Linked DNA regions of Rattus norvegicus. The protein of the gene in region 1 interacts with the protein of each later gene in a pairwise test. Links are inferred from orthologs where the notes say so. Each region holds a gene or a part of one and is shown in the gene's direction. Other genes may lie near its edges.

The links.
Region 2: the proteins of Prmt3 (region 1) and Rps2 interact in binary tests that used the Homo sapiens proteins (3 or more experiments, as listed by UniProt). The link is inferred for Rattus norvegicus from reciprocal best matches to the Homo sapiens genes PRMT3 and RPS2.

What each region holds. Positions count from the first base shown.
Region 1 is NC_086019.1:108,677,424-108,680,923, forward strand, and holds part of Prmt3 (protein arginine N-methyltransferase 3), read left to right. Parts: intron 1-590; coding exon 591-778; intron 779-2,741; coding exon 2,742-2,828; intron 2,829-3,500. UniProt on the Homo sapiens protein: Protein-arginine N-methyltransferase that catalyzes both the monomethylation and asymmetric dimethylation of the guanidino nitrogens of arginine residues in target proteins, and therefore falls into the group of type I methyltransferases.
Region 2 is NC_086028.1:14,250,517-14,254,197, forward strand, and holds Rps2 (small ribosomal subunit protein uS5), read left to right. Parts: upstream 1-1,331; 5' UTR 1,332-1,342; exon of another isoform or gene 1,343-1,476; 5' UTR 1,477-1,479; coding exon 1,480-1,656; intron 1,657-1,735; coding exon 1,736-1,825; intron 1,826-1,992; coding exon 1,993-2,100; intron 2,101-2,154; exon of another isoform or gene 2,155-2,288; intron 2,289-2,351; coding exon 2,352-2,685; intron 2,686-2,772; coding exon 2,773-2,864; intron 2,865-3,059; coding exon 3,060-3,140; 3' UTR 3,141-3,181; downstream 3,182-3,681. Other genes in the region: Ndufb10 (NADH dehydrogenase [ubiquinone] 1 beta subcomplex subunit 10), read right to left, coding at 3,353-3,456, 3,583-3,681.

The sequences.
Region 1 (3,500 bases):
GTTAAAGCCTTGTCTGAATTTATTGGTTTTGGTAGGTGATCCATAGTGCCTTATACTTCTCTTTTGAGACCAGTCTGGGTGACATGAGAGCCCGTCTCAAAATAAATAGATAAGTACAAATTTCTTGAGAGTAGGAATTTGTATCCACAGTGTTTAATTTAGATTGGAAGATACTTAATGATCATTTTATATTAAAGTATAGTATGAGCTGCTCCTCTACCTGCCCATAAAACTCCAGGGTGATTTCCCCCTGTGGTGCTACATACTTTTCTGGATAGTTTTCTTTACTTTAGGGGAATATGTGAAATAGCAGTTTAGAGGGCTGTTTTAAGTTGTCATATTTTAGCTTTAATATTAGTATGTTTGTTTCAAGAGTGTTTGAGTAATTTTAATAGGAACCTATCGTTGGAATGTTGACTTTACCATCACAACTATAGGCACTGGGGTCGGTTGTCTCTGTCTCTGTCTTCATTGATCTCCCCCTGCTAAGTAGTCCATATAGATAGGTTTGATATTTATATTTAGCCATTTAAAACCATCCTTTCATTGAAACGAAGTTGCTCCATATATGGGCATTTTCTTTATTCTAGTCTACCCTGACATTTGCACCATCAGCCTTGTGGCCGTGAGTGACGTGAGCAAACACGCCGATAGAATTGCCTTCTGGGATGACGTCTATGGCTTCAACATGTCCTGCATGAAGAAAGCAGTTATACCAGAAGCTGTTGTGGAAGTTGTAGATCACAAGACTCTCATTTCAGACCCTTGTGATATCAAGGTAGGTGTGTGAGCATTCCCTCTGTGTCTGTGGGGTTTGATGCTAAGACTCCCTGCACAAGCCACTGTCTAATAGATGTGCAGAAAACCCTTATGCAAAATGAGGGAGTGTCTGCATGTGGCCTGCACACATTTTAAATTATCACTTACTTCACTTACATTTGTTACAAAGTGAGTGCTGTTCAAGTAGTAAACTGTACTGTTTACAGCATTTGAGAAGCTAGACCTCTGCACACGCTTGGTTCAGGTATAAAAAAATATAATGCTTTTAGTTCACAGTTGCCTTGATCCAAGGACATGGGTCACAGTAGATGTGAGTGGTGTGTGGTGATAATATGTAAGGTGATCTTGGGTCAAGCACAGAGCACTAGATTTTAAATTTGGAGGTCTTTAGTATGTCAGCAAAATGGCAGACAGATCAAAGCGTGATTTCATGGATATTATTGCTTATAGGAAATCCAAGTAGAAGACAGCCTTCTTACTGACTTTCCATGTGGGCCTCCTCTGGTTTTGGTTTACTCTAAAACAGGGTCAAACTTGCTTCTAGGCCATCATTGCTTAGAATCACTTCTTACTCCATTTATCAGCCTTCAAATCCAAGTCCAGGAGCTGGTTGACTCACTTATACATAGTCTAGCCTCCTGGGCCAGAAGCCTGCATCTTCAGTGCTGGCATCTGCTTCACTGCCGCCTGGCACCAAGCTGCCCTCTCACAGATCATCATTCTCATCCTATATTCCACTGTCAAGTTCTTACTTAGACTTCTTCCAGCCTCATTAGCTTAATTAGCACGAATTTACCTGAAACCACATGGCTGTGTTAAAATATCCTCATTAAGTTCTTCTGTGTTTATTTTTGTCATGTTAACCTATGGATTTATGGGACTGTCGATTTTACATAGGCTCACCATAGCTTGGTAACATAATGAAGTGTGTGAAGATTTCAGCTGTGGGTTAGGGCAGTGTCTCCTTCCTTTTGTAATATATAGCTGTTCTCTGCATAAAGGAGCCTCCTCAACAAGCAAGCCTGATTAACTGTGGAGCTGCTGGGTTCCCTGGTGCACTGTGGGCCTGCTTCACGCTCTGGTACTCTGGTAGGAAGAGGCCTGTGGAGCTGTTTGGATCAGAGCAGAGGGGAACAGTTGCTGTCACCTTGGCAGAGCAGGAGGAAATGGGGGAGGGAATGCTGGCTTTGCTTGATCCCTTAAACTACTGGAGTAGTTGAGACAGCTGGTTTAGGGCTGACTCTCAGCGTGTTTTGAGAATGCTGTGATAGCGAGCTTGCCTGTGCAGCCATGTTTATTCTCATTCTTCCTACACCTAACAGCCCTACACTATAACTGTCTTTAAAATGTTTCTCCAACTATCTGTCATAAAGAGGGTAGTGTCCCAGGCTGTCACTTGCCACCCCTTCCCAAAGTTACTTGGAGAACTTGAGCCAGGACAGGACACAAAGAAATACGCTGTTTCTGTCCAAGATGAACCCTCTGTTCTGCTGTTTGGTTTGAATTATTATGGCTTTTCCTTCTATCCAAAAACACCTTTAAATATTGAGAGATGAATTTTTCCTGACAGTCTTTCCCTTCACCAGCGTGTGTTTTCAAGTTACCATTTCCTCTAAGATTAATGTCATAACCAGAAGCACAGTAGATGTGAGTGGTGTGTGGTGATAATATGTAAGGTGATCTTGGGTCAAGCACAGAACACTAGATTTTAAATTTGGAGGTCTTTAGTGTGTCAGCAAAATGGCAGACAGATCAAAGCATTATTTCATGGATATTATTGCTTATAGGAAATCAAAGTAGAAGACAGCAACGTGATTTAGAGAAACATTAACTGTTACTCTTCCTTTAGCTTGGAAAGAATCCTCAGAATCATATATGATTAGAAGTTAGGGAATATTATGTTAGCCAGGCTTTGCTAGTCCTGTTTACTGATCTCTTTCTTTCTCCTTTCCAATGGGAAGCATATAGATTGCCACACCACATCTATCTCAGACTTGGAGTTTTCTTCAGACTTTACCCTGAGAACCACAAAGACAGCCATGTGCACGGTAAGCTGACCCTTCCCGCTTCCACAGATCCCACTGGCAATGCGGTTGATTGGCAGAGTAATGAATTAATTACCAGACTTGTGATAAATGGAAACAGCTATTGCCATTGACAGTCTGTCTTTGCCTTTGCTCTCACTGGACAGATCTGCTTAATAGATGAGTAGAATTCAGAAAAGTCACTGCAGCTGGTCTGCTGATGATGTCTGAAGTCTCCGTCCTCAGGAGGTGAAGGATGGCCGCAGTAGACGGCCCTGTCTCCTACAGTCTGTTTACTTAGGACACAGACGTGGGCAATCTTGGTTTTTTATTTTTCTTTCCTTTTTTGGTTATTATCTATCATACTCAACAGGGAACTTTCTATTTTATCTTCAAAAACAAAAATTATTACTGTATGCCTTCCAGTAGGTCTTTACACCTAATCTAGATGTAAATGATCAACATTTGATCCAAATACACGTTTGGCCCGGGATGTAGGTCTATTTGTTTATGGAGTCTCACCGTGTAGCCTAGTTCTGTCTCTGCAGGGACTGCATGCTTGTGTGGAGGAGGCCAGGCCATGTGAGCCCAAGCTGTAGGGAATCATGAGACATTTCAACAGAGAGGCAGGTACTCCTATGGTGCTAATGCCTCCAAGAATGTCTCATCACAGAATTTATGATAACATGCATCTTC
Region 2 (3,681 bases), on another chromosome or scaffold:
ACTGTATGTACAGCAAGCCTGCCTCTCCAGTACAGGCAATCACACCCAGGCTCCAGTCAGTGTAACCCCAATCTTTGAAAGGCTGAAGTAGGATTGTTAAAATTCAGGGCATTCCTAGAGTACAAGGCACAACCCAGTCTCACCAAAAAGTGGAAAAAAAAACTGGTTCAAAACCGCTCTTAGGTTGGAGAGATGGCTCAGTGGTTAAGAACACCGGCTGCTCTTCCAGAGGTCCAGAGTTGGAATCCAAGCAACCACACAGTGGCTCACATCCATCTGTAATGAGATCTGATGCTCTATTCTGGTGTGTCTGAGGGCACCTACAGTGTACTTATATATAATAAATCTTTAAAAAAGAAAAACCCGTTCTTATGGGAGTCAGTTACACCAAGTGATGTACATTCACGCAAGCAAAACAAAGCACATTAAAACGCACAAGAATCCGCCTGCCTTGGGTACCCAGATGCTGACTGCTGAGACTAACACACCGGTTGAGAATGCACTTTCCGGGGTTGGGGATTTAGCTCAGTGGTAGAGCGCTTGCCTAGCAACCGCAAGGCCCTGGGTTCGGTCCCCAGTTCCGAAAAAAAAAAAAAGAAAAAAGAGAATGCACTTTCCACCTAGACTGATGGTAACCGTCCAACACATTAATACACAGTTAAGTTAAAACATTTTATTTGAGAAAAGAGGACATCCGAACCCTGTCATTCTCGCGGGAGAGTCAGCGGCAACGTCCAGATCCGGTGGAATTAACTCATTTTGAGAAAAGAGGACACCCGAACACTGCCACTCTTGCGGGGGAGGCGGCGACAACGTTCAGATCCAGTGGAACCTGTGAAATAAATGACGTGATTAGGACTGTGGCCCCAAGCCAGACCGCGGGAGCGGCGAGGCGATCTGGAATGTAGGGGCCTGGGTTTCACCCTCCCACACTGGGGCAGCAGGGGGTGAGCTGAGGCCTCTGTGGCTCTGGGCGCCGATTCTCAACCCCGGCCACAGGCCAAAGCCGAGGATGATTTTCAACGAACGCCCATTTACTGGGTCAAAGCCCATCAGGAGCGACCTACCTGGACATGAAAACGGAAGCACGAACTCGTGGACACTAGGAAGACCACAAAGCGCCGGCGCGAGTATTTATATACGCGCTTCCGGCTGGTGGCGTTCGCGGCTTCGGCGAGGGGAAGTGCGCAGGCGCAAGTAGACCGTGGCGGAGGCGGGACAAGACGCAGCCAATCACAGCCTGCAGTTGCCCTGTATAGACGTTCGAGATCTCGCGGCTCTTGGCTCGCTATAAAAGGTCCCTTCCGCAGCGCCTCCCTCTTCTTTTTCTTCGGGAAAACACGTGAGTCTGTGTTACTGGGCTCTGATCTTGCGGCCTGGGCTGTGGGAATCCGTGGACATCCGGACGGACACAGCTTTGGCAGCTCCGCGGACCCTGGGGTTCTACTGATTTGCTTTTTCTTCTCTTGTCACTAGCAAATGGCGGATGACGCCGGTGCAGCGGGAGGGCCCGGAGGACCCGGGGGCCCAGGATTAGGAGGCCGCGGCGGCTTCCGCGGAGGATTCGGCAGCGGCCTTAGGGGCCGCGGTCGTGGCCGAGGCCGTGGCCGCGGTCGAGGCCGCGGGGCTCGTGGAGGTAAAGCTGAAGACAAGGAGGTAGGTGTGGGCCGCTGGCGGAGCGGGCTGCTCACCCTCTGCACGGAGATGCAGCCCTTTGACTGATCTCTTCCTTCAGTGGATCCCCGTTACCAAGCTGGGCCGCCTGGTTAAGGACATGAAGATCAAGTCCTTGGAGGAGATCTACCTGTTCTCCCTGCCCATTAAGGTACAAAGATGAGTCCGTGCATAAACAACTCAAGGGCGGGAATATCTAGATGGCTCTAAGTGTGCTGCCACATTTTATTGTCAAGGGTGGAGGAGGATTGGAATACCCTTCTTTGTCCATTGGTAGGGAGCGAATTTAATGTATTTGCCATAAAATCTCTTTTACAGGAGTCTGAGATTATTGACTTTTTCCTGGGTGCATCTCTAAAGGATGAAGTTCTGAAAATCATGCCAGTGCAGAAGCAGACTCGGGCTGGCCAGCGGACCAGGTTCAAGGTTAGTTAGGATCGTTTCTTGGCAAGAGCCGTTTGAACAGTAGGGCTGTACTTAACTCTCTCACTCTGCATGGTTACACTAGGCTTTACCCGTGTGACTTTCGTACCGGGAGAGAGAGAAAAGGAGTTCCTCCAGTACTTGGGATTGGCCTCACAGTGGCCTTTCTTGCTTAGAGGAGCACCACAGGTCCTGTTTGGGATGTGCTGGTGGCATGAGGTATCTACAGCCATTTCACTTAAGTCTTTTCACAGGCCTTTGTCGCTATTGGGGACTACAATGGCCACGTTGGTCTTGGTGTTAAGTGCTCCAAGGAGGTAGCCACTGCCATCCGAGGGGCCATCATCCTGGCCAAGCTTTCGATCGTCCCAGTGCGGAGAGGCTACTGGGGGAACAAGATTGGCAAGCCCCACACTGTGCCATGCAAGGTGACAGGCCGCTGTGGCTCTGTGCTGGTTCGTCTCATCCCTGCCCCCAGAGGCACTGGCATTGTCTCTGCTCCTGTGCCCAAGAAGCTACTGATGATGGCCGGTATAGATGACTGCTACACTTCAGCCAGGGGCTGCACTGCCACCCTGGGCAACTTTGGTAGGTAGCTCATTTATTGTGGCCTCTCTTCAGCTGTTTTAATCTTAAAAAAAAAAAGACAAAACCAACTCTTTTACTGTTTCACAGCCAAGGCCACCTTTGATGCCATCTCCAAGACCTACAGCTACCTGACCCCTGACCTCTGGAAAGAGACTGTGTTCACCAAGTCTCCTTATCAGGTAGGCTGATTCAGATGGTGGTGTGTTGGGGATTTAGCTCAGTGGTAGAGCGCTTGCCTAGGAAGCGCAAGGCCCTGGGTTCGGTCCCCAGCTCCGGAAAAAAAAAAAAGAACCAGATGGTGGTGTGTTTAGCTGCCTTAAGCTTTGTTGCCTGAGTTGGGGGCATGTTGTATACTAATGTCCTTCTCTTTTTAGGAATTCACTGACCATCTTGTGAAAACCCACACCAGAGTCTCTGTTCAGAGGACCCAGGCTCCAGCTGTGGCTACCACATAAGGGTTTTTATACAAGAAAAATAAATGAATTAAGTCTGTTAATTGTGTTTTTCCTTTTGTCTGTCTCCCCCATACCTGGAACTACACAGCTCTGGCTGGCTCAAAATGAGCCCAACTAAGCGGCTGTGCAACTTAGACACAGAGACACAGGTGATGGCCAGGCCTGTCATTTTATTTCAGCAGTGGATGAACAAGAGTTCTTTGTCTGGTGTCTTAGGCGGCAGCAGTCTCCTTGGCAGCCTTTCTCTCTTCCAGCATCCTCTGCTTCTGCTTTGCCAGGCACTTCCTGGCAGAATAGTAGGCTCCCAGGTCCTGGTCTGGAGGAGAGATGGGCCATGGAGAGCTTGTTATAGGCAGGTTTTAGTAACGCGGGAAACAAGGACCCAAAACTGATCATACAGCTGAAAGGGTGGGGAAAGCCACAAGGTAAAAGGGTCACTCACAGCGGTCCTGGTAGGCTTTAGACACTTGGGTGAATTGCTCCAATTCCTTGGCACAGTTCTGCAGTGCACTCTCTCCTTCCCTCTGCTGACAAGCCTTAA